Caenorhabditis elegans: one gene and its partner. The protein of the gene in region 1 interacts with the protein of each later gene in a biochemical or structural test. Each region holds a gene or a part of one and is shown in the gene's direction. Other genes may lie near its edges.

What was found.
Region 2: the proteins of lem-2 (region 1) and lmn-1 interact in far-western blotting, tested with the Caenorhabditis elegans proteins (one study listed by BioGRID).

What each region holds. Positions count from the first base shown.
Region 1 is NC_003280.10:14,061,237-14,065,192, forward strand, and holds the start of lem-2 (LEM protein 2), read left to right. Parts: upstream 1-2,213; 5' UTR 2,214-2,218; coding exon 2,219-2,359; intron 2,360-2,415; coding exon 2,416-3,439; intron 3,440-3,956. Other genes in the region: W01G7.4 (putative RNA polymerase II nuclear localization protein SLC7A6OS), read left to right, coding at 1-139, 213-313, 1,173-1,242. UniProt on the Caenorhabditis elegans protein: Nuclear lamina-associated inner nuclear membrane protein that is involved in cell division, nuclear structure organization, maintenance of nuclear envelope integrity and nuclear envelope reformation after mitosis.
Region 2 is NC_003279.8:8,761,243-8,764,842, forward strand, and holds the start of lmn-1 (Lamin-1), read left to right. Parts: upstream 1-1,798; 5' UTR 1,799-1,813; coding exon 1,814-1,911; intron 1,912-2,000; coding exon 2,001-2,085; intron 2,086-2,133; coding exon 2,134-2,247; intron 2,248-2,402; coding exon 2,403-2,636; intron 2,637-2,688; coding exon 2,689-3,600. UniProt on the Caenorhabditis elegans protein: Major component of the nuclear lamina, a fibrous layer on the nucleoplasmic side of the inner nuclear membrane. Provides a framework for the nuclear envelope and probably also interacts with chromatin.

The sequences.
Region 1 (3,956 bases):
TTTTCGGTTCGCCAAGCGTGATGAGCTGGATTTGGGCGACGAAGATGACTCCGATGGGCCGCCGGCTGATGATGAAGACGATTCGAATGATGAGGATAACTGGCGGAATGACTATCCCGATGAGGAATCCTATGATGAGGTTGGAGCTGCTGAATTCTGTGAATTTTCCATTGAAAATCTTCAAATCCCCAGATGAAAATGTTGATTTTCAGGACAGCGACAATGGGGATCCGTACGGAATATCGGAGCCCGACCATTGGCACGCCGGCGAGGAGGCATACTCCGACGAAAGCTTCCACAGACGGCTTCAAAAGTGTGTAAAATTGGATTATTGCGCTGAAATTACGGCTTAAAACCTGGAAATTGAGGCAATTTTCACAAAAATGCTTAAATTTTAGCTAAAAGTATTGAATTTAGCTATTTTTCCTCGTAAATTTCTGAAAAATCGGCTAAAAATTCTATTTTCCTTTTTTTTTTTTGCGAAAAACTCGAAAATTCCGGTTAAAATTGCTCATTTCTCTGGAAAAAAAAGCGGCTTTGATGTATTTTTCCATAATTTGTAGTTGAAACCTGAAAATTTAGCTGAAATTATCTATTTTTCACTGTAAATTTCTGGAAAATCGTCTCTAAAAATCCTATTTCTCCACTAAAATCGCTCATTTCTCTGGAAAAAATGCGGCTTTGATGTAGTTTTTCCATTAAAGTTCTCAAATTTCAGCTAAATGTAGTGAATTTGTGGTTGAAACCTGAAAATTTTTAGTTGAAATTAGCTATTTCTCCCTGTCAATTTCTTAAAAATCGGCTAAAAATTCAATTTTCCCACTAAAATAGCTCATTTCTCTGGAAATAATGCGGTTTTGATCTAGTTTTTCCATTAAATTGCGCAAATTTCAACTGATTTTGCCAATTTTGATGCTAAAAATTGAAAATTTACATGTGAAAGTTTGAAAATTCGGCCACAAAACCCCGGTTTTCCTCCAATTTTTTGAAAATTCCGACTAAAATCGCTTATTTTTACTAACTTTCAAGTAATTTTCATCAATTTAATTATTAAAAACTTGAAAATTAGCTATTTCAACCTGAAAAATTCTGAAAAGTACAACTTTTTGGTGATAAAATGTGGCGGTTTTCAATTTTTAGATGGAAATTCTGAAAATTCTATCATTTTTCAGCATGGACCTGAACGACGAACGCTACGAAGCATTTTATGAGGGTGACGAGACTGACGAAGACGCCGATTAATACTGTTTTTCGCCTTTTTTTTGTTTTTTCAGTGTTCAAGCTTACTTATCAGTAACTCACACACACACATATTTTCAATTTTTCATTCATTTTCATTCATTCATTCACAACTCTGAAATTCGTATCATGAAGACCTTATTTGTGCTATTTCTCGCCTTTTTTCTGCTTGTTGAAGCTTCTTCGGAAAGCGGAAAACGCGACGTTTTTCACAATATTGAGAACTTTTTCAAGTTCCTTTGCGTCGTTTTTCAAGTTTCTCAGGCGTCGGTACAACGTGAGAAATCGAGAAATACCTCGGAAAGCACAAAGAAATTTCAGAAAACGACCGAAATCACGAGAAATCGAATCTTCCAGGCTGATTCATAGCATTGCAAAGCTGAATTACTTGGCTTTCAGCTCATCGGGCAACTGCACTGAGCTTAAATAATTTTTTTTGTTGTAATTTTTAAAAATTTTTCATTCAATAAAAGGTTTTTACTCAATTTTACTGAGCAAAATTTATCGATTTTTTTAAAAATTTGATGAATTTACCCTGAATATTCAAGGAAAAACCTGAAAAATCGAGACTCGCAGAGGATTTCCTCCGCGGAAATTCCGAATATCAGAATTTATTTTCGAGAGACACCACGAACTTGCGACACCACGAAGTTTTTGAAGAAACAGAATCCGCAGGCAAAGTTTTTTGTTTTAGCACATTTTAGGTTTATTTTGGTTTTATTAAAAATTAAAATAACAATTTCTTTTTTAAAAGTTTAGTTTTTTAGAAGTAAATCTTAATTTCCGGTGAGATATTCTGTAGTTTTTGCGTCCATGGTGGTGTTCATCCCGCACCGCCTCCTCGCAAGCGCGCTCCACTGACATTTCCCGCCGCATTTGGTTCAAATTTCACAACCTTCGAAAATTGACGATTTCCTTCGTTTTTCTTCATTTTTTCGCGTTCTTATAAGATTTTTTAATTATTTTTTACTTTCAGAGAATGGTCGACGTTGAGAAAATGTCGGATGCAGAGCTCCGCGCCGAGTTGAACGTTCGCGGGGCGAATGTTGGCCCGGTAACTGGAACGACTCGTTCGCTGTACGAGAAGAAGCTGAAGAAGTTGCTTTCCGGTGGAGCAAAGGTATTTTAAAAGGATTTAGAATACTTTAGATTTTTTTTTTATAATTAAATTTTCAGACTCCTGCTCGTCCTACCGTCGCCAAACCAGCACCAAAACCAACTCCAAAATCCGCTCCAGCTCCAAAATCCCCAAAATCGCCGCCGGCCAGACGCTCAATTCCACGTGCTGCCGCGACCGCCGCCAATAGCACGATAAATTCCACGTTTAATCGATCGGAAATCGAGGAAATGAGCGATTCGGACGATGATATGCGAGACGACGACGATGACGATGAGGAGATTCTCTCGCCGAAATCCAAGCAATCTTCGTTCAGAAGCGCCAACTCAACGGCGAGCAGTGTTGGACGCGGCCGCCCGGTTTCTTCGACGCCTAACAAGAGACTTTCTCCAGTTTACAAGCCATCTCCAGTCCCAAAGAATACTCCAAGAACTACTTCATCATCAAGCAAAACCACTATCAACACAACTACTACTCGCATTCCATCAACTCCCCGGAGGATTACCTCAGTGCCCGGGTTGATCACAGACTTCACGCCAAGCTTCTCCACATTCGGAAGCGATCGCCCCGGCGCTACACCGCCAAGAAAATCGATTTACACGTCGAAAGTGTCCAAAGTTCTTCACGACTTGGGAAACACTACCGGAGAAGAGGATGATGATGACGAGTTTGAAGGTCAAGAGACGAGTAGAATCATCTACAAGACAGAAGAACCCTCGCGGCGGGGCATTGTGAAGAACGCGTGGAACAAGGTGCTCGGCTATGGTTTCGATGCGTCCAAGAATCCAGGAGACAGCTATGATCTTCGCGCCGGTGCCTCCAGAATCCGTGTGCAGAAGAATCCGAGAACCGGGAAGGTGACTGTGAAGCAGACGAATATTTTCAACGAGGCGATTTATTTCGCGCTCTATGTGATTTTAATTTTGTTCGTCGTGCTTGGAATCGCCTACGCGCTGACAACAACGCATCGCCCGAAAACTGCGGATTTCTCGGGTTATTGGGGAGTTTTGAAGGCGGCCGGCCGAGATTCGCTCAATTTCTTCTACAATTACGCGATTCTTCCAGTCGTTTCACTGGGGATTTGTAAGTTTTGCAGTTCACCACTGCAACTTTTTCCTCACGAGGGACGAGGAAAAGTGGTTTCTAGGCCAAGGCCGAGGGGCCGACAAGTTTCAGCGGCCATTTATCTTGCTTTGCTTTCCGCCTGTTTTCCTTCGTTTTTCACAGTTTTTTCCCGTTTTTTCTTATTAAAACTGATGAATAAATATTTTTTGCAGATGCTAAAATAATTTCCAGATGAAAAAATATGTATTCAGTCGGCAAGTAGTGGTGAAAGTTGTCAATGTAATATGATGGATTACGGGAATACAAAACCTAAACTTTTTCTGAAACATGATACATATGATGCTTAGATGCTGAAATTACCTGATTTTCATAACGAGACCGCTGAAAAAGTTTTGAGGTTTTCAAAATTCAACTTTTTGTGCGAAAATCTCGACTTTTTCACCAAAAAAGTTGAATTTTGGAAACCTCAAAACTTTTTCAGCGGTCTCGTTATGAAAATCAGGTAGTCTCAGCATTTAAGCAGCATATGTATCAT
Region 2 (3,600 bases), on another chromosome or scaffold:
GTCCGGTTGTACAGCCCTAATTTTATATACTCAATTGTTAATCTGCATATTACCAAGAGACATGTTTTGCCCAAGTTCCTCTCACATTTAATCGATTCTCTTGTTTTTTCATTTCAATCTTTTTAGGGATCAAATGTGTTTTAGAGATGCAGGTGTCTAGAGAAAATTGTTTTCCTACTCTTTCATTTCGTATTCTTTTCATTTCACCAAACTTCTCTCTCGCGGCTAATCTCGCCTTCATAATAGAAATTTAGCTTCTAATTTTCGTGCTATACTAATATTCTACCACATGGTCACATCAAATGAGATAAAAACTGTCAACGCGCCAAAATGACACTCTCCCATTGATTTATTGCCCTTTGTCTCTGTGCGTCGACGCTCTAGTGCTCTTTCCAGATGTTGTTTCCTTCTCTTCTCAGCCTCCTTCTCTAGAATTCATTCATTCTGTGTCAAACACCAAAGAAGAACGACATTGTCTTCTCTCACACAAGACTGCTTATGATTTCTCGCTTCCTTCATCTGGCTCTGAATATGTCTTTCAATGGTACATGTTTATTGTTAATCGCCGAGTTTCAAAATTTACACTATCCATATAAAAAAGCGGCAAAACCTCAAAATTTCAGATGTTTGACCACTTCTCTAATACTCTCATCATGCCTCTCCATTATTCGTTCTATTTAACCCTGTACTGGCATGTTGCCAAGTTGTGTATATGTATGTTGTTTACCATATGCACACGTCTTTCCTGCTTCTCTACTTCTCTAGTCATTGGGACCGTGAGCATAAAAAACGAAAGAAAAACTTGAAAATAGTGCGCGAAACGGGAGAGATCAGAGATGAAGGGGTACGCAGCGCTCACTCGCGCGACTAAAGAGAGAGCATTGGCCTGGGCCATTGCCCTTCGAAACAAGATCGAGCGTTTTTCATCGTTTTTGAACCCTCGAAACTCCTACATATCACCTCTCATGCAACTTTTTTACACTAATTTGTGTAATTTGATATCCTATCTTATAGTTTATCAGGTCATTTCTCTTTTGTAGTAGTCCGAAAGTTTTGATTGATCGAATTTCGAAATTCTCCCTAAATTTTCGAAATTTTGTTACTTTCAAATTGACGCGACATGGACGGTCAATCAAAACCAAACAAGTATGCGAGAAATTCCCTTTTCTCTCTTTTTCTCTAATCATTTCAGTCCCATCTGCCTAGTTCTATCGGCAATTTGTGGAAGTGCGCAGATGATTTTTGAAGGCGAGGTGATAACGCCCTGCTAAAGCATTCTTATTCACGAGAGTTTCAAAAAACTATTGAAACGAGGTAAATCTTAGTTGAGTATACCTTGACAATTGTAGTTCTTTGCCGAGTTGCCTAATGTTTGAATTCAACGCTACTTACTGACTATGTTTATGCTTTTGTTTACGTCACTCTCACAAATGTTCCTTATTTCTCTACTATATTTCTTTCTGTTGAAACATTTAAAAAACGAAACAACACACATCTATGTGGAATACTGCCATCTGCCGATTTTGAGGTCACTTGGCGCGCCGTAACTCGCAAATAACCTAACAGCGCCAGATTTTTCGACAAACACACGCTTTCCGAAGTGGTATACACAACGGCCGTGTCCGCATGTTTGCCACACTTCTTTTGAGACAGAAAACTTTTGTTGTATAAAAATTTTATCACAAGAAATATCAAAATGTTGAGTCACGTTCGTGTGGCGCCTATGACGTTTCCTCTCTTCTCTTACATCTCTCTTTGTCTATTTCTGAAACTAAATCCAATATAATTAACTCTTCAGAAAGCAGCGAGAAAAATGTCATCTCGTAAAGGTACTCGTAGTTCTCGTATTGTTACGCTAGAGCGCTCAGCGAATTCGTCGCTAAGCAACAATGGAGGAGGCGACGATTCATTGTGAGTTTTTATTTTGCTTCTCTAGTTCCTGCACTCATAAACGCATTTCTTGTGTTATCTAAAAAAAAACTCGATGAAATGCTTTTCAGTGGCTCAACGCTTCTAGAAACTTCACGTCTTCAAGAGAAAGATCATTTGACTTCACTCAACAGTCGTCTTGCCACTTACATCGACGTGAGTTTTAATTTGGAAAGTATTCATATTTGAAAGTACACTTTTCAGAAAGTTCGTCAATTGGAGCAAGAGAACAACAGACTCCAGGTTCAAATTCGCGACATCGAAGTTGTTGAAAAGAAAGAGAAGTCAAACTTGGCCGATCGCTTCGAGGCGGAAAAGGTACACTTTGTTTATATTCTGATCGCCAAAGGTGTTCTGTGGGAAACTGATGCGGTGGTCTTATTATTCTCGCCGCGGTAAAGTAACAATGCAAATATAAGCTCTCGTTTTGGACGAATGATAAGTGTTGGAATATAGATTATTTGTATTTTCAGGCTCGTCTCCGTCGTGCCCTCGATTCGGCTCAAGATGAGCTCGCAAAATACAGGATCGAGTATGACGCTGCAAAGGTTGAAGTAAAGAAGTTGAAGCCACAAGTCGAAAAACTTGAGAGAGAACTCGCTGGAGCTGAGGAACAAGCCCTCCATGCCCAATCTATTGCTGATCAAAGTCAAGCAAAACAGAAGACGTTGCAGGCACGCAACGATAAATTGGTGGTGGAGAATGATGTAAGAAATTTTAATTTTATCAAAAGTAAATGTTCAATTTTGTTGTTTTCAGGATCTCAAAAAGCAGAACATCACTCTTCGTGACACCGTAGAAGGACTCAAGAAAGCCGTTGAAGATGAAACTCTTCTCCGAACAGCCGCCAACAATAAAATCAAGGCTCTGGAAGAAGATCTCGCTTTTGCTCTTCAACAGCACAAGGGAGAACTTGAAGAAGTTCGTCACAAGAGACAGGTCGACATGACAACCTACGCCAAGCAGATTAATGATGAGTATCAATCTAAGCTTCAAGATCAAATCGAAGAGATGCGTGCTCAGTTCAAGAACAATTTGCATCAAAACAAAACAGCTTTCGAAGATGCCTACAAAAACAAGCTCAATGCTGCTCGTGAACGCCAAGAGGAGGCTGTATCCGAAGCAATCCATCTTCGTGCCCGTGTTCGTGACTTGGAGACATCAAGCAGTGGAAATGCTTCGCTCATCGAACGTCTTCGTTCAGAGCTCGACACTCTGAAGAGATCGTTCCAAGAGAAGCTCGACGACAAGGATGCTCGAATTGCTGAACTTAATCAAGAGATCGAGCGCATGATGAGCGAGTTCCACGATCTTCTTGATGTTAAAATCCAATTGGACGCCGAACTCAAGACCTACCAAGCTCTCCTTGAGGGTGAGGAGGAGCGTCTCAATCTTACTCAGGAGGCGCCACAAAACACTTCAGTTCATCACGTCTCGTTTTCATCCGGAGGAGCAAGCGCTCAGCGCGGAGTGAAGCGTCGTCGCGTTGTCGATGTAAATGGAGAGGACCAAGACATTGATTATCTCAACCGTCGCTCCAAACTCAACAAAGAGACTGTTGGCCCAGTTGGAATCGACGAGGTTGATGAGGAAGGAAAGTGGGTCCGTGTTGCAAACAACTCTGAAGAAGAACAATCCATCGGAGGATACAAGTTGGTGGTCAAAGCTGGA